Arabidopsis thaliana: one gene and its partners. The protein of the gene in region 3 interacts with the protein of the main gene of each other region in a pairwise test. Each region holds a gene or a part of one and is shown on either strand. Other genes may lie near its edges.

Evidence for each region. Proteins that work in one complex are often made in the same cells at the same time.
Region 1: the proteins of GP ALPHA 1 (region 3) and GTG2 interact in a two-hybrid assay, tested with the Arabidopsis thaliana proteins (one study listed by BioGRID).
Region 2: the proteins of GP ALPHA 1 (region 3) and GPCR interact in binary tests that used the Arabidopsis thaliana proteins (3 or more experiments, as listed by UniProt).

What each region holds. Positions count from the first base shown.
Region 1 is NC_003075.7:13,791,157-13,799,110, forward strand, and holds GTG2 (GPCR-type G protein 2), read right to left. Parts: upstream 6,001-7,954; 5' UTR 5,878-6,000; coding exon 5,663-5,877; intron 5,475-5,662; coding exon 5,374-5,474; intron 5,039-5,373; coding exon 4,934-5,038; exon of another isoform or gene 4,635-4,933; coding exon of another isoform or gene 4,571-4,634; coding exon 4,450-4,570; intron 4,225-4,449; coding exon 4,095-4,224; intron 3,798-4,094; coding exon 3,719-3,797; intron 3,117-3,718; coding exon 3,045-3,116; intron 2,921-3,044; coding exon 2,832-2,920; intron 2,658-2,831; coding exon 2,565-2,657; intron 2,236-2,564; coding exon 2,209-2,235; intron 2,102-2,208; coding exon 2,015-2,101; intron 1,733-2,014; coding exon 1,661-1,732; coding exon of another isoform or gene 1,637-1,660; exon of another isoform or gene 1,390-1,636; intron 1,204-1,389; coding exon 1,073-1,203; intron 978-1,072; coding exon 824-977; 3' UTR 814-823; exon of another isoform or gene 667-813; 3' UTR 486-666; downstream 1-485. Other genes in the region: AT4G27640 (ARM repeat superfamily protein), read right to left, coding at 6,857-7,057, 7,146-7,250, 7,345-7,480, 7,632-7,744, 7,825-7,920. UniProt on the Arabidopsis thaliana protein: Abscisic acid receptor. The GDP-bound form exhibits greater abscisic acid binding than the GTP-bound form. Required for seedling growth and fertility.
Region 2 is NC_003070.9:19,708,775-19,712,932, forward strand, and holds GPCR (G protein coupled receptor), read right to left. Parts: upstream 2,308-4,158; 5' UTR 2,275-2,307; coding exon 2,104-2,274; intron 1,971-2,103; coding exon 1,792-1,970; intron 1,721-1,791; coding exon 1,609-1,720; intron 1,516-1,608; coding exon 1,399-1,515; intron 1,317-1,398; coding exon 1,002-1,316; intron 925-1,001; coding exon 586-924; 3' UTR 501-585; downstream 1-500. Other genes in the region: AT1G52910 (fiber (DUF1218)), read left to right, coding at 1-43, 123-354; AT1G52930 (Ribosomal RNA processing Brix domain protein), read left to right, coding at 2,487-2,695, 2,794-2,935, 3,270-3,348, 3,525-3,649, 3,745-3,915, 4,000-4,098. UniProt on the Arabidopsis thaliana protein: May play a role in abscisic acid (ABA) signaling.
Region 3 is NC_003071.7:11,195,151-11,201,615, reverse strand, and holds GP ALPHA 1 (G protein alpha subunit 1), read right to left. Parts: upstream 4,621-6,465; 5' UTR 4,148-4,620; exon of another isoform or gene 3,796-4,147; intron 3,659-3,795; 5' UTR 3,530-3,658; coding exon 3,470-3,529; intron 3,382-3,469; coding exon 3,309-3,381; intron 3,214-3,308; coding exon 3,176-3,213; intron 3,086-3,175; coding exon 2,996-3,085; intron 2,821-2,995; coding exon 2,743-2,820; intron 2,641-2,742; coding exon 2,533-2,640; intron 2,451-2,532; coding exon 2,349-2,450; intron 2,108-2,348; coding exon 2,052-2,107; intron 1,677-2,051; coding exon 1,542-1,676; intron 1,460-1,541; coding exon 1,366-1,459; intron 1,275-1,365; coding exon 1,215-1,274; intron 1,129-1,214; coding exon 1,049-1,128; intron 972-1,048; coding exon 794-971; 3' UTR 514-793; downstream 1-513. UniProt on the Arabidopsis thaliana protein: Exhibits a fast rate of basal nucleotide exchange. Guanine nucleotide-binding proteins (G proteins) are involved as modulators or transducers in various transmembrane signaling systems.

The DNA of each region.
Region 1 (7,954 bases), on a different chromosome or scaffold from region 3:
TCCTTCATGATTTTGTATAATGTAAGTAACAGTTGATTTAACCTATTTCACAAATAAAAAGTAACGATTAAGAAATGAGATTAATATAGGATCAAGATTACGACAAAACGAAGGATACATTTCTCTTTATTGGCGGCAGTGACTCTTGGTGATCAGATGACAGAGGTTATCTCATTCCTAGAGAATGTAAATTTGTTCTCAACCTATGCACTACTACTGCACTAAGAAGTTGTAAATTATTCTATATATATATTTCTTTAGATTTATCTTCGTTGTTTTCTATGAATGTATTTTGGAATTGAAAATCCTTGGACTGGATACAATGTGACATTGAAGTCAATTACATGCATATAATCAACCGAAGCAGATATTGAACCTAACACACGTACCAACTCCTTCTCTACCACAATAATCTCTCACACCGAATCAACCAAAAAAAAAAAACAGTCATTTTCGGTTAATGCCTCATTAAATCATTGTGGCCACTACTCTTTTTCTTTTTCTTTTCCTTTCTTTTTTGTGTGTGTATGTGTTTCTTAAAGTACTGCATGAAAAATAATGTATGCATATAAATAAGGTAGAGATCTATTGAATTTTATATCAGATATATATTATTGAATGGTAAAACCCCAAAGTCTCATTCTCTTTACAACTAATCACACACACCTGAGGAAGAAAAAAAAACAACAACTCAAGACTGATCCTTTCAAAGCAAGAAAATGTACATAAGTCAACGCTAAGTAGTGGTCATTGTTTCAAGTTTTTCATCTAGATCAAAATTTAATCAACCACCTCATTTGCAAGGGAACTCACAGATGCTTGCTTAGTCTATTGGGTGCTTATCAATTTGACGAGATGTGTAGTGCGCAGAAAGCAGAAGCAGAGAAAGAAAAGCGCTAGCCACGAATATTGCATCAAACCATCGATGATAGAAATCAAACTGAATATCTCCGCCTAATACATCTGTTATTATCCCTCTGTGCCAACAAAAACACCATTCGATTATAATCCACATTTCATCTTTTCAACAGAAGAACGGTTGTAATTATTGTTATAGTATTATCTTACGTACCTGTACTCATTTCTCAAGCTTTTTCTTATAAGAAGAATGGAAGACAAAAAGTACATTCCCATGATTTCTGATAGGAAGAGCACAACATTGCTTGAAGATCCACTTCCAACCCTCGACACTGCAAAGAAGAACTGTACAAGCGAATTGAAAAAAAACTCCCCAATTCAATCACCAAAACGTTTAACAGTATTCAAAACAAAAGCTTTCAGTATATTGCGAGTTACAATTACTTAGATGTAAAATCACTATACTAATGCCAACCAAGAAAGTAGCCTCTGTTTTTATGATCAGACTGAAATTACATTGAGTTGTTCTGTAATGCTACTGCAACAAATACGTTAATTCAATCACTCTACATCTTCCACTCTTAGGATATACATCATATATACTTTGCTTAAGTAACTATGTGACTGTCACAAGGAAAGTTAGCACCAGCTAAAAGAAGTGAAAGCCTCCGTCTAATATTTAAACATGATAATGCCAGAGCAAGTTTTCCATTGACACTATATAGCTCCAAAACAAGTGGATAACATACAAGATCGTATAAAGACGAATGGGAGAAATTTAAAAGCTGAAATCAGAACTCACCTTCATCAGATTCGTCAAGAATCCCCTCACTGATATCACGATCAACATCCCAATAAATAACAGGGAAATATACTGAAAATAATAAACAAAGAGAGAGCATCAGACCTACATAAGGTAAGTTGAGAACCATATAAGCATCAAGATAAAAAGCCATCTAGTGTAACAAGGTCTAAGAAATGAGAAAATTCACATCCCATCAAAGGCCCTATGAAACTAGAGTTATTAATTGAGAAACAATAATCCTATAGCTTTTCATCTGGACGATATGTTGTAAGGAGAAAGAATATTAACAAGCCTGCTTGCAATTCTTTGAATCTACTACTCCATACAACAAAAATCCAAAGTCACACAAACCTGTGAGAGCAATGCTGCATCTACTCCTATATCAAAGAACTGCAAGAATATGCTGATCATCATCGTGACAGGATCTTTCGTGCCCGCCTGTAAACAAGCTAATCACTATTCCATGTCGTAAAAAGTAAACAAATGATGATAACGCTGCAAGAATTTATTGTAAAGTGTATAAGAAAACATGGACAAGAGAATACCTCCTTGAAAACGACACTTTGTAGAGACTGCAGATAAGACAAACGAAAAATAGAGAAGTTAGAAATACTAGTTCACAGTTACAAACTTACAATAGACAAAACATTTGACAAGAGATATAGGAGATATTTTCATCTAATAAACCATTACTGGTCTCAGAACAGCTCTCTTTTCAAAGAAGTAAAGAAGTTCAGACAAAGAAACTCCTTAATTTTTGAACTCTGCATCAATCTATAACAAAAACTAACACTGCCATTGTCACATCCATGCGGAAGAGTTTGACATAGTCTTGCAATGCTAGGATAACATAGAGTTAAAATTACTAAAGGCTAGCACCTCACATAAAGACAAAACAAACCTTTAACATCTTATACACACAGTAAATGGAACACGCATAGCCAAGAAAGTTCTGCACATGACCCTTCCAAGTTCGAGAAAAAGCAGCAGCATCCTGCAAATGAAATGAAGTAAGATAAGTGCTTATCAAATGTTTATATTACTACGTAACAAGACCACCAGGTAATAACCTAGGTAATAAGTAATTTAGTCGAAGATGTCATTGCCATGCTGATGAGTAAATTCGGTATTTAAATTAAAAATTAACGGAAAAGTACTGGAAGGGAACCTTTGCTTGGCGGAGTTCATAAATTTCCAAGAATAGCTGCTTTGACAGCTCTTCTAAACCTTCCACCTCTGCCTCCATTAGTTTTATATCTGCATAAGAAAAACATTCATGAATTTAGGGAGATATCACTAGAAAGTATAGAACTTAGATCTCATCTTATTATGTGTATGCACACATAAAATGTTAAAAGGAAAATAAGTAGTCCTATGCTACCTATGATCTGGCAACAGGGGGAAAACTGTAATAACTCAACAACTTTATTATCCCAACAATAGACGAGCTGAACTGATCTCAAGTCACTCGAATACTTCTTTACTAAATTAAAGGTCTCATTTGTACCGTAAAGTTTTTATGTAAGTACCCCTCTTTGGTAAGAAAGCTACTGTTCTGCAATTCTTCTTTTTCTTCATGTTGTTGGTTTAACCACTGAACTACTAGTACATCGCCACAACTAAATAGTAAAAGTACTGTAACCTCATTCTCTTTCTACTCTAGCCAACACCACCAAACATGAGCAAACCATCCTCGTGCTTTACATTCTTAAGAATCTTAGTTCTCTGTTTCCTACTACAATATTCAACATTTTCCTAACGGTGGATGATGATTTCCTGATGACGCGAAAATAATAAAAAAAAATCAGAGTAGTCTGTACTTTATTTTTCGTTCTGCTCTTTACAACTGGCAAGCAAGACATAGAGTAAGGAGCTCATGAGAAACCAACATACTTTCAAGTCATCTAGATTTTTCCAGCTCACAGAGACAAGGTGACAATTCAGATGGTTTATTTCACAAAAGAGAGACAAAGATAATGCACATGTAAGATCACTCGTAGAGAGATAATGTTGTGCAGGCACAACTGCGTCTAAAACTAAATTATATAAACTGACCTTGCTCCTTTTGGTCATCTTGAACCGACCGCACAACAGTCCCGACAAATCTTCTAAAGAAAGATTTACCCTTTTGATGCTGGAAGCCAAAAGCACCAGATGATTACTTCCTAAGCTAATTTCAGAATTAGAAAAAGCATAATTACGAAATATCTCTTATCAGTCTATGGCATTCAAACTGATGCATGGATAAGGAAGTATTTTGATAAAGGAAAAAAAAGGGGGTCATTTCAGAGTCTGAAGAGCATTTTGATACAGAAGTACAGAAATAAACAGATCTGATACGAATCCTAACCCAATACAGAATGTTAAAGAGTATAAAAATCTAAGGTACAATCACGTATTGCGTACGCTAATATATAAGACAGAATCATACCTCTTCTGATACTAGACTTCGTTCCACCTCAACTTGACATAAAAGAATTTTCTTCTTCTTAGCTATGCAAGTCTCCATTGATTGCATCAGTTGCCTTTCCAGCGATTTTATTTCTGATTCTTCAATCTCCCTATATGTTTCCAGAGAGAAAGAGAGACAGGAAAACGTGCAGTTAGATCACAAATTTCCCAATCCAGCTGCTCTTCTATCAGTGTAGATCCATTTACATCACAGAAGATGAAAAGCTTCATTCAGAGTTCAACTACTTCGAATCAAAATCCTCAAAACCATTTGCAATAAGAATAACGCACAAGGTAGAAGAAGAAAATCTACTAGCAATTATAGAGGGAAGTACCTAATAAAGAGCGATATATAACTGTAGGGCAAATTTACAGCTCCAAAACCCGATAAGACGGCCATGAGGGTCACACCAATGACCCCGATTCTGCTGACCAGCTGAGGCATTGAAAAGAAACCTTTCAAGATAAAAGGGTGTTTAAGTAAAGTAGTCCAACAAGTGGGTGACAAGATCTTAAGCATTTAAAATAAAAAGAACCAAAAGCGTTTGTATATACAAAAGCTACTGTCACAAGCATAAAGAAGGGAGGATGATTGACCCTGCGAATTTCTTCTGACGGTATTTTCTACAGTCAGGCAATCATAGTCAGTGTCAACATGCTCAGATTCTCATTTCAATTTAAAACAACATACCCTACTCCACACATCCAGAAGTACACATTGTTCATAATAATGTTAATAAGATCTAACTTCAACTTCAACTTCCTTCTTGCTTATACAGAGTTGAAAGGAGAAAGAGGGTGCATAAACTCAAGAGGTACCTTTGTCTGAAGGCATAGGAAAATGTATTCCCATGCGCCAGAAAGCATAAAGGAACGCTGTCAAGAATAACAAGGCCCCAACAGCAGCACGCTCTCTTCTTACACCTGAAATGATGGTTTTAGGTAAATATAAAAATTAACAACAGCCAAATCAAATTTCTGTAACATGTGGTGCTACGATGTTTAATCAAAAAAACGAAAGAAGGAAGGATTAACGCCATAAGGCAATGAAAAATTGCTTATACATATTCATCAGCAAATAAATTTAATCCCAAAATGTAACAGAATGTCAATTATCAGGCCTCATACTATTTCTAAAAGATAAATTGATAAAGCAATAGATCGTCCATCATATAACATACAAACCATTTTAATAATTCCTAGGAAGCCTGAAAAGAAAAGGAAAGATGAAGAACATCGATAGCAAGGAAAAGGCTTACCAGTGTTACGAAGCATCAAATAGCAATGATAATAAGGTAACATGAAAACAAGGAGCACTATCAAACAAAAGAGATCCACCTTCCAGTTTACCATCCTTGCCCTGCAAACAAAGATAAACCTCAATAGAAAGTACTAATGGTGTCATGATAAAAAGAAATTATTGGTGTCTAAAATCAAAATGATGCAATTCCCGAAGCTCAATGACTGTATTCACAACACTTTCATATTATGTAAAATGACAAATTCCATCTATAAACCAAAACTTGCTACTCGAATTTGAAAGCTTACTCTCTAGATAAAACAGGGATGATTTCGAAGAGAACAAGCTGTAAAAGGTTGCAAGAGAAGGCGAAGACGACGCTGAAAATGATTTGAACCAAAGCTCGCTTCTCTTCGTACTCTTTGTAAAGCCTCCGGTTGAGAAACCATAGACCAGCCGATCCTAAGAGACACAGAGATCCAATCACCAACATTCCCTCGAAGATCCCCCATCCGTAACCCATCTCTCTCTAATAAGGAAACAAAACTCAGATCTCTTTCTCTCTACCCCAACACTCTCATCAGAGTCTCAAGCTTCCGCTATTCGACTGAATTTGCCGACGAACGGTGGTTCCTTTGCTTTTCATCAGAATCCCAAATTTGGTTTTTGTATTAAACCACACTAAACCGTATCTCCGTACCAATTATTTATTATTTAGTTTTGCGCGACTGATTTCCGGTTCAACCACCCGAATCATGCCTCGTTCCCGCCAAATAGGATTTAGTTCCCACTTCCCATTAACAAAGCTAAAACTATTAAACTCTTGCCGTTTCGCAACGGCCCAGAAAGACCAACAAATATATAACCTAATCTGTTGCGCCATCTTCCAGAGTAAAACACCTTCCCTAAAGAACAAGTACAAGAAATGGAGAAGACAACGACTACGACGTCGTCGAACATGAAGAAGAAGAAGCTGTCGTCGACGCAGGCTATTTGCTAAAGCTGCAAGTTTTGTTTGTCTCCGAGGACAGGTTTCAAAGAAAATTCCGTGTGCATGGACCAAAATAGTTGAACTAGGAAAGGCTCATGCAAAATAGTTGATGCCCTCGTTTTGCGATGGCAAAGAAGATAACGTACGTACTCATTTGCAATTATGTATACTCAATTTTATCAAGGCCAAAATAAAATATTGTATGTCAAAATACAAATACAGATACTCCACTGATCCACTCAAAGCTTGCAAACTTTGAATTGAAGACTATAAATAAGTGGAGAAAATGAAATAAACAATGAGGACGAAACTCTGAAGTAAGGAACATATAGCCAAGCCAAAACAGGAATACACCCACTTACCCTCAAATGCTAAAATTGGATATTTAGGAAAGAAGAAGAAAAAAAAACAAGATTTGAGACTCAATTGAGCAAAGAATAGACTTCAAAAGAAAAACAAAAGCTGAAGACAGTTTTCGCTTCTGAGATATTAAATATATCACAAGCGACAATCAACTCGTGGATGCAAACGCAGCGAGAACGTTAGCTTGAGAAGGCGGTAGACTACTTATTATTGGCTGCAACTGATTCCCATAAACCGAGATTAGATGGGAGAAAGTTCTGCCTACAATTGCTTTCACTTCAACTTTTTCGACTGGCGACTCCAATACTTGCCCAAAGATTTTAACCAGCTCCGGAACATGAGAGAAGATCTGATTTTGCATCCAAGCAAAACAATTTTATCAAATTAACCTTAGTAATGTTTAGCCAAAGGTGAAAATATTGCCTTGAGAAAACTACCTGTGGATTGGATGACGAAACAAGGGAATATATACAGGTGTAAACAGCCATGGACTCCTCTTGATCTTCCTTTAGAGGTAGACCTCTTAAGAACACTGGAAGTACCTGGATTATATAACTTAGGGATGAGTACCGTGTTTCATAAGGTTTCAGGAAGTAAGCAAAAATACATGAAAATGGCCTAGCTCCTAGATCATACTTGATTTAGCGGGACTAGTTGAGGATGAACAACAATCATCCTTGCGGTAGCACCTGCTGCATTATCCCTAACAGCAAGGTCTGGTTCTGAATCCCCGAAAAGTGGGGAAATTCCGCGTAGCACATCACCAAAATATCTGGTATTGAGTCAAAGGGAGACAAGTATCGCATGGACTGACAATTCTCATATTCTTCCAAAACAGAAGGACGATGAATGAGCATAGAAATCAATGGATAAAAGTCTTTACGACTAGAGTAGAGTTGAAGCATGTAACACGAAAAGGATACTTAAGAGCAGTTTCACCCCCGTTTTTGCATAGCTCTCCAACACAGAAAGCTGCATTCCTTCTATTGGTTGCTTCTGGTGACCCCAACTCTTTGAGCACCAAAGGCATTAATCTCTGCAAGAGAATTACCCCCAATAGTTGGTTTAATAAGGCTCAAACACCAATCATAGAGAACATCAGATGAGGAAACGTACATCAACATAGGAAGAGATTGGAAGACCCATGTCTTGAGCAACCTCAGCAAGACTAGCAACTACCATTGTCCTATCCTGTGGAGGACGTGAAGCTTTCTACAGACACAAGAAGTGAAACAGTAAGTGCCTA
Region 2 (4,158 bases), on a different chromosome or scaffold from region 3:
GTGGTTCAAGAGCTTGTGGCATTATGCTCTTCCTTATTTGCTGGTAAAACTCTATACTTAACACAATCTCTATAATTTATGACTTTGACTTGACACATCATTCTACACTTGGTTTTGAACAGGGTGTTTTTCTTGATTGCTGAGGTATGTTTGCTCGCGGGATCAATCAGAAACGCGTACCACACTACGTACAGAAGGATGTGGAACATCGAAAACCCTCCTAGCTGTGAAGTGATCCGTAAAGGAGTGTTTGCTGCTGGTGCTTCCTTTGCTCTCTTCACTGCTATTGTCTCTCAGTTCTATTACATCTCCTATTCTCGTGCCCGAGACGGTTACCAAACCCCACATTACTAGTGAGTAGTGAGATCCAGAACAAGAAAAGCTAAACCCTGAATGAGTTTGTCCATTTATCCACTCACTGATCAATAGGATATTAAAATTTGATGATGTTAGTCATTTTGCTTCTTGCTTGTATCACAATTGTTTTTTTTTGTTTTCTTGTGATGTATAAAATCTTATTAATATAGACAGCTATTCTACATTTCAGTATCTAAGCTTATTGTTACAGTGTAAGTTTTATACATTTTAGAGTTCATAACCTGGAAACAGAGCTTGTGTTGGATCATTCATGTCGAGTAACATGTAGGCCATTCCTCCGATACCTTCAAAGAGAGAGAAGGGTCTATCTCCTCCATGCATTTGACCTTCTGAGATTAACTTCTCTGATTTATCGAGTAGGAAAGACGCGAAAGCTTTAGCGCGGTACAAATACTTTGGGTTTCTTGTTAACCGGTATAGAGAAAGAAACACGTATGTGTTTCCGCTGATACCGTGACAGATTCCTACTCGTTTAAGCAATCCACGGCTCCACACAACTTCTCCTGCCTCCATTGCTGCCTCTACAAATTCCTTAGTGTTATAAACCTGACGATATCCAGAAAATGAGTTTTGCATTGTGGTTTTACTTACTGATAAGAGTACTTCAATCAACAAATGATTACCTGAGCTGCCTTTACAAGTGTGAGAGCAACACCAGGAGCACCGTGACACCAGTGAACAAGGCGATCTGATTTGCTTCCTTCACTAGATAGGTAATTCCCGCTAGGAAAACGGTTTTGTATCATATAGCTTAGTGTACCTTTGACATCTTTGATTTCATCTGGTTCAAGTTCCGTATGCATCAAAACATTCATGATCCCAGCTAAACCGTGTGCAGCCCCCCAGTACCTCTTCCCGTGCCACTCATACATCAATGGACAAGTTCCTTTATTCCCGAGTTGTCTTCCTGCCCTGAAGATTTCCTCAACCACTGATCTCTGAAGATATAGAGATATCATAAAATCTTGAACTTTCTTGAGTAAGTCAATTAACCAAAGAAATTTTATAACTTTATTATACCATTCGTTCAGATGATATACTCTCCTGACCAATATGCTTATTCAAGAACAAACACGCCCACAAGTATCCTGCTCTACCATATAGCAACTCATATGGCAAGTCACTAGGAAGCCTAATCTGTTAAACAGATCAAAGTTGCAACACTCAAGCAAAGTATAGAACAAGTTATCTATTTTCACTAGAGCAAAAGAAACTGTAATTAGTAATTACCCCTCGGAAACGGGCTAAGTAACGATCATATAACTGGTCATCACCTAAACACTTCGCTGCAACAGCACCAAGAGCACATACACCAGCATAGCCACATATAAATGTCACTCGCCTGATAGAAACCACAATCATTACCCCGAAATGAATTCATGAAAATTGGATCATTGAAGAAAATTCACTTACTCAGAATCTCTTGAAGCTACATCACAAGCTTCAACATTCTCTAAGCATAGCTTAAGATCATCTTCATTTCTAGTAACCTGATAAGATTTGAACAAGAGATAAGCTGTCCCAAGAACTCCAGTATACAAGTTATAATCTCGAACACGTTTTCCAGATCGTTCCCATGTCTCCCAGACTACCTAAAACAGAATCACCACACAAACAAGAGAAAACACAACTTCACTAGACTAAAGAAAAGTCATAAATTCATTATAACTACATAACTTCATTATAACTCAAAATCATATATAATCAAATTGAAAAGTGAGTTACTTTATCTTTGATGCTTAGAGCATATCTGTGAAGCTTCTCTGAGAATGATTTGTACGGAAGTGATAGCAGTTTCGTCAACGAATCTTTACATTCGGTAACAGTTTCTTCTTCTCCGGATAAATCTTCCGGTACAAACTCCGGCATCTCATTTCGGAAAAACCGTTCTCCCATATCTCTCTTTCTCTCAGCGGTTGCTGCAGAGGACCGCGAAGAACAGAGACTAACGACGAAGTGACGAAGTGACACATCGTTACCATTATTAATGGGCCTTAAGTTAAGCCCAATAATGACCGGCCCATGATTTTTTCTCTCTGTTTCGTCTCTGACCTTAAAACACTTGCTAAAACCCTAGAGAAAACGTCTCTACGCGGAAAAACAAAAAAATGGGGAGGAAGCGGAAGCACAGTGAGACGGAAGCTCCGGCGCCGGTGAAAAAGAGCGATGAGCCTGCTCCGGATAGACCCAAAAGGACTCTATTGGGATGGAAAGATAAGAGTGAAGGTGAAGCTGAGAAAGCTAAAGCTTTGACTTCATCTGGATTCAAGAACAAAGAGAAGGTTTTGGTGACTTGTTCTCGTCGTATCAGTTTCAGGTTGAGTTTAAATTGCTAAATTTGTTTCCTTTCTTTTGGTTTTGATTTCGTTTTTAGGGTTTGAAATTGATTTGTTTATTGGGGATTTTTGTGTGAAGGTATCGGAGTTTGATGTTGAACATTGTTTCACTTCTACCACACTGTAAGAAAGACAGTAAAGTTGAAGCAAAGAGTAGCAAAGGCGCGACTTTGAATGAGCTCATTGAGCTTAAGAATTCTAATTCCTGCTTGTTCTTCGAGGTAAAGTTTCCATCTTACTTATTTCTAGGCTTAGTTTTTGTTCCATGTAGTCAGATTTGTTCCTTTACTGTGGAATGTTTGACTCAAAAGTCAAACCTCAGAAACTTGTGATTAGAATACTCGATGGAAGCTTATGTATATGCATATTGATGCAAATGGACAATCTTTGACTCTATTGGTATTTAGTATTTGTTCCATGTCATCAAAATTTGATAGTTATCCCAAATTGTTAGGGTTTGGTTTGTTGTGGAAGCTTAATATATGCATATTGATGTAAATGTACAATCTCTGAATGTATTGGTTGATTTGTATTTGTTTATGTTTCCATTTTCAGTGTAGGAAACATAAAGATCTTTACATGTGGATGGTCAAATCCCCTAATGGACCATCTGTGAAGTTTTTGGTTAAAGCTGGTAAGAGTCGAGATCCTCTGACTTTAGTTTAAGTGGCAAGAGCTGATAGATCTAGTCACGTATTTAGCTATGATGGGTTCAATCAGCTTGTGTCTTGTTCTATATCTGAGTTCTGTTTCTGTAACTATGTATTTTTTGGTAAAAGGATTTTTACTTTTGTTCTCTGTATATTGAAGTGCACGCAATGGAAGAGATGAAACTCACTGGAAATCATCTCAAAGGGTCACGTCCACTTTTGACATTCTCATCCAATTTTGATAAAGATGCGCACTGGAAACTCTTGAAGGAGATGCTTACTCAGGTTGTTGCCAGATTCATATCCTTGGATAATGTTTTTGGTCCATTAGTTCTCAAGACTTTCACATCCTAATTAGTTTTGTTTTGTTTATCTCTCAGGTCTTCGGAATTCCTAAGGAACACAGGAAATCTAAGCCTTACCATGACCATGTATTTGTCTTTTCAATTGTTGATGAGCATATATGGTTCCGAAATTACCAGATTTCGGTTCCTCACAATGAGTCAGATAAAATTGCAAAAGGTGGCCTGGATAAAATGACCCTTATCGAGGTTTGTGGACAAAGAGTTACAAACTTTTAATAATAGTCTTTCGACCATGGTTTTTGATTGAAATGGATACACTATTGACAACAGGTTGGTCCAAGGTTTTGTCTGAATCCAATCAAGATATTCGCGGGCAGCTTTGGAGGTCCTACTCTTTATGAGAACCCGTTATACGTATCTCCAAACCAGGTATCATTGATTAATCTCTTATTTGCAAGCAAAAGATATAACCAAATGAATCTTAGAACT
Region 3 (6,465 bases):
CCTAACAAAACCAATTTCGTGATCTTTGAGAGTTTCGTATTAATCAAACTAAGAAGCGATTGTTATCATTATCGTATAACAGAAAAAGCAAAATCAGAACACCATTGGAAGAAAGAGAGAACAACAACATACATGTTTCAGAGGATTGCTCGAAAACGGAATCAAAAACAGAGGAAGAAGAATCAATGAAGCTTTTTTTTTTTTTTGGGATCTATTAACGAAAGAGAAGAAGGAATATTCTTTGACGTAAGAAACAACAACGGCGAAGAGTTTTTTGCTTTCAGGGTTCTTCTTTCTTCGGTGCAATTATTTTTAAAGTCGCTTTTTCGAATGTTCTGAAATCACGGTAGACCCCATGTGTTTTACTTTTATTTCAGTTTTTACATCATATTTTGTATTTGTTCAGTTTCACCCCCATACTTTTTTTTAATGTAAGAACTTTTTCATGTTAGGAACATTCCAAAACTTTTTAGTACTGATAAAGTTACGTTTTGTGTTGTGTTTCACTTTCTAGATTTCGGGATGTGGATGCCTCATTTTAATAATAATATAACCCCAAAAACAAGATCAAAATGAGATGTTTTTGATGAGAAAAAAAAATAAGAAGTCAAAGACAGAGGAATGTTAACAAAAACAATGATAAAATAGAAACTAGTCGTAGCCATCGAGACACATTAGATTTTGAATCGCTAAGTCTTTTGTCCCGAAAGATAAATTACACGGTCATTCAGTTTTCGAGTTTTTCTTATAATAATAAGGAGAGGTAATTTACTAGAGATATGTAATAATAAGGTCATAAAAGGCCAGCCTCCAGTAAATTTCTCCTTCTTAGTGTCTCATCTACGAGCTTGAACGTTTTCTTTACAAGCTTCTGGTCCAAAGCCGTCGTCCTGTAGATTTTGAATACCCTGTCCACTCTATCCGGCGCCGTGTTCTGGTAATATAACTCCTCAAACTTCTTCTTCACAAACCTGAATCCAAATTAAAAATAAGGTCATATAACGGTAACAGTTTGGCGGGAATCAGTAAAGTTTGGAGACAAGCTTACTCGTATGCATGCTCAATCTCTTGTTTCCCACTTGAAACTGGTTGGTAATCTCTGAACCACTCGCAAACGTTCAACGGAACCTATGCACATTGAATAAGAAAGCGTTATTGAACAAAAAGACTTGCTTGCCTATCAAAACAAATAAATATGCTTTAGTTCTTCTTACGTCAAGAACTTTCTTCTCAAATATGTCGAACTTGTTCAAGAACAGCATGAAGGATGTTTTCTGCGTAAAGAGAACCAAGTTTTTGTAACCAAACCCATCTCAAGAGTGTCTTTAAATTTTTAAAAGATGAGATAAAAATGTAACTAAAAACCTCAAAACAGGGTTGTTTCAGGACCCAGTCGAATAATTCCTTGGTCTCCATCATCCTGTTTTTCTGCTCGTCCTCAAAGAGCGTTTGGTCGTACCTATGATCAAAACTCAGTTAATGTTTTGGCAATATGTGGACAGTACGAGGATATCTTATAATTTATAATGAAGTGAGCTTACTCGCTGATGGCAGCACAAAATATCACAGCTGTTACACCTTCAAACAGATGAATCCATTTCCTCCTCTCATTTCTCTGTCCACCCACGTCAAACAATCGGTACACTTCACCACTTTTTTTATTCTCTCCCACAGGGCTGCATAAACGAAGCTTTATCTCATATACCATTTGTGAATTCATCTTTGGTAACGGATCATTACAAGTAGATTCACCACAACAACAAGTTTGATATTGGTATGGAATTCATATGTTCTATTAGTACATCTTAGTGGCAATCATAGGAATCGAATCCGTAAACACTTTTATTCATTTCACCAAATAACTTACACATCGCAGAGAGACTACATTAACAAGATTGTTGCTGAGCTGTTAACACAGCTACTACAAACCGCCTAGCTAATCATATTGCCTAGTGAACCAGACTAACACTTAGAGCTTATCAAACAATTACTCATCTATGAAAGACTAACAATCAAACAGGAAAAAGGGTAAAACAAAAAGTAGTTGGTACCTGAACTGTATTTCCACGACACCAGTTGTGCGAACTCTTGCATAAAGTACATCCTCCTGAAACACCAACATAGAAAAAATGCACCAATGACAACACATTCCGGAAGACACATGTCACAGAAATTGCATATTGACTCTGGTCTCTGAAAATGCTAGCTCAACTAGGCTAATATGGAAAGCAAAAGGCTTCTGTTTGTTAATACATTGATCCTCCGAGGCTGATCCAATGAGTTTTATTCAACCATTTTAAGATCATTACTTGAAATGTTTTCAACAAAGAATGATACTTTGGTTATACCTTAGTTGGAATATAATTTATATCTGATAGTCTCTTCAAGTTCTCCATCAGATATTTCGTACAATCAGGAACCTGAAGCTCATTACCACGAGCACAAGTTTCCTACAAAATGAAACGTTTAAATCATGTATTCAACTTTGAGTGCAATAGTAAATAAAACGTGCACACACACACACAAACACACCTGAATTGCAGGATCCTTCCATAGTGTTTCTATTCCCTCAGCGATGTCCTTGGTAAGACGTGGATAGTCTAACCTACCACCAATCTCAGATAGTTTCTCCCCAATTGCCTGATATTACGATAATAAGTTGACTACCATAAGACAAGGTACTCACAAGACTCAAAACTCTAACAAAGACAGCTCAAGTGACCTATGAATCTAACCACTTACAATACTTTCAGAAGATAACATATATTTAGCAGAATCTGTTTCATTTTGAGCAAACTCCTTTGTTCCATCATGCAATAACTGTTCAACAATATAGAGTAGCTATTAAGCTACATGTACAATATACCAAGATCAACATATGAAAAAAATTTGATTACTCATATAAATGATTCTCTAGATTGTAAATCCAAAAGAACTCGAAAACACCGCCAATTAGAAGGATAAAACCGACACAGTCATTTCAAGTATTGCATACTTTTATAGTCTGATAGACATTGGCATGAATGACTGGAACATAGCTCTTTAGTTCTCCTTCATCAAATCCCGTTTGGAATAGAAGTTTTATCTGCAAATTAGTAAATTTGTATCATTCAATTAGCAGGATTCATAAGTAAATTTAAGTAAAGAGTACAATCAATTTTCCTTGTGGACTTGCCTGCTTAAAAATTGTAGATTTTCCAGATTCCCCAGCACCTTTACAAAACACAAGTCAGAAAATTAGAGGAAAACTATTACCAAAAGATTCATCAAGGCATGCCATTCACATTTCTAATCCAAGGTCTACATACCAAGTAGCAAAAGCTTCCGAATATGCTTTTCAGCCTTTGCTTCTTGCTCTATCCGTCTTTCGATTTCAGCAGCCTGTAGATTAATACAAACCAAGTTAACTCTTGAAGTATCAGAAATAATGCTCCCATACATCGAGTGTTACAAGAGCTCTTAAGTCAACCTGTGTATTCTCATCAGTATCTTCAGTATGATGTCGACTTCTACTGCAGAGTAAGCCCATGATTGTTTCTATATCCCCACAGGTAATAACATAGAAGTCGAAAACTATCAAGATTCAAGCTCCACAGCTAAAAACAAATACTTGAGCTTCCAGCTACAGTTGCTTCTCATAACAAGACAATGCCTACACCTACTTATGAAACAATCAATACTTTAGCTCAAAATTCATAAATATACATAAAGTTTCACTCACCAAAATAGCAAACATGTTCAAAGAATGCAAGTAAGAAAAAGCATTAAACTTTATAATATATACTGGATTAGTACCTCTCAAATGAAACAAGTTCAGTAGTTAAGAAAATGAGCTCTAAAAGTCGAGTAGCTAACACCATTAAGAAATTCAAAAACTGTGAGATAGCAAATCAAGTAATAGATAGAGTTCACACTTGAACTGCTATAATCAGATCCAAAGAATCATAATTTTCATTTCCAATCTACAGTAACGACGAACTGATCTACAAAACCCTAAACTTGAAAAACAAAACCAATTCGAAACGAAACAGAAAAACAACAGAACAAGGAGGAGAACTAGGACAAGATCTGAGTAATAAAAAACAAAACTTTCATAAAACCCAAAAGAGTAAATTTGGGGTAAGAAGAAAAGTAAAGTAGAATTCACCTGAAGAAGAAAAAGAAATGGAGTCAAAGGTAGTGAAGAAGATATCGGAGTTCGCAAACAAGAAGAAGAAGAAGAAGAAGAAAGTACAAAACAAGGTCTGAGAAGAGAGCAGAAGAAGAAGAAGTAGTACTTCTGCTTCTCCTGTTTCTATTATTGTTTTACCACTTTCTTTCCGCTTTAATGTTTTTGCTTCACTCTTTTGGATTTATTCTCTCCTTTTTATTATAAATACATAAAATGCAAATTATGAATTTAATTAAAAATAAAATAAAAATGGATATATTTTTAATATTTGGTCAAAAAGAAAGAAAGAAAATGTTAAGCAAAGGGGAAGACGAAATTACGCCGAAAGGTCCTGAGAGAGAGAGAGAGAGAGTGGTCAAATGTTGAAAAAAGATGTGCCTCTCGTGACGATAAAGAAGATTAATTACGGAACCTATATGCATTTTTATTTTATATACTATTAAGTTAACCATTATTGGAAGAGAATTACTAAGTGTGGCAAGACAAAACAAATTTGGAATTTTATGACATCAAGTCCTTGTATCGAAATATCTTGATTTTTGCTTTGCAGTTGCATTACAAGCTGGACTCTACTTATATCTAGAATGGGTTTTGCTAGCTTAGGAAATATATTGCAGTTTTGATTTAGGAAAGAAAATAAAGATTCAAAATCGATAAAAACACAACATATCATATAGTACTTTAAATCTTCAACCTACAAAAACATCACATCCGTTAAATCCTTACAATCATTAACATCGACTTGAACTTCTCACAAAATGTTTCCACTGAGAAACGGTCTTGGCGAGTGATGGTATATTTATTGGTTGGGCTTAAATATATTTCAGATGCAAAACCATATTGAATCAATAAATTATAAATACATAGCTTCCCTAACCACTTAAACCACCAGCTACAAAACCAATAAACCCGATCAATCATTATGTTTTCATAGGATTTCCTGAACATACATTAAATTATTTTTCATTTTCTTGGTGCTCTTTTCTGTCTTATTCACGTTTTAATGGACATAATCGGTTTCATATTGTAAATCTCTTTAACCTAACGAACAATTTAATGACCCTAGTAATAGGATAAGAAGGTCGTGAAAAATGAACGAGAAAAAACCCACCAAAACACTATATAAGAAAGACCGAAAAAGTAAAAAGGGTGAGCCATAAACCAAAAACCTTACCAGATGTTGTCAAAGAACAAAAATCATCATCCATGATTAACCTACGCTTCACTACTAAGACAAGGCGATTGTGTCCCGGTTGAAAAGGTTGTAAAACAGTTTGAGGATGCTACAAAAGTGGATGTTAAGTATGAAGCGGCTAAGGTTTTGGATTTGGTCTAGGAGCACATTGGTTAAGCAATATCTTCGGTGGAGATTGAGTTTTTAGAGATAGTAGATACTAATTCATCTATGGAGACATGCAAATTCATCAAAATGCTTGGATGAATTAGAAAAACTAGGTGGAGAATACAGTAAAAAAATTCAAAAAGTGCATATTGTTTGGACAACATTAATATGTACAAATAGTTTACATTTAAATGTATTATTTTACTAATTAAGTACATATAAAGTTGCTAAACTAAACTAATATAATTTTTGCATAAGTAAATTTATCGTTAAAAGTTTTCTTTCTAGCCACTAAACAACAATACAAAATCGCCCAAGTCACCCATTAATTAATTTAGAAGTGAAAAACAAAATCTTAATTATATGGACGATCTTGTCTACCATATTTCAAGGGCTACAGGCCTACAGCCGCCGAATAAATCTTACCAGCCTTAAACCAGAACAACGGCAAATAAGTTCATGTGGCGGCTGGTGATGATTCACAATTTCCCCGACAGTTCTATGATAATGAAACTATATAATTATTGTACGTACATACATGCATGCGACGAACAACACTTCAATTTAATTGTTAGTATTAAATTACATTTATAGTGAAGTATGTTGGGACGATTAGACGGATACAATGCACTTATGTTCTCCGGAAAATGAATCATTTGTGTTCAGAGCATGACTCCAAGAGTCAAAAAAGTTATTAAATTTATTTGAATTTAAAACTTAAAAATAGTGTAATTTTTAACCACCCGCTGCCGCAAACGTTGGCGGAAGAATACGCGGTGTTAAACAATTTTTGTGATCGTTGTCAAACATTTGTAACCGCAATCTCTACTGCACAATCTGTTACGTTTACAATTTACAAGTTAGTATAGAAGAACGTTCGTACCTGAAGACCAACCGACCTTTAGTTATTGAATAAATGATTATTTAGTTAAGAGTAACAAAATCAATGGTT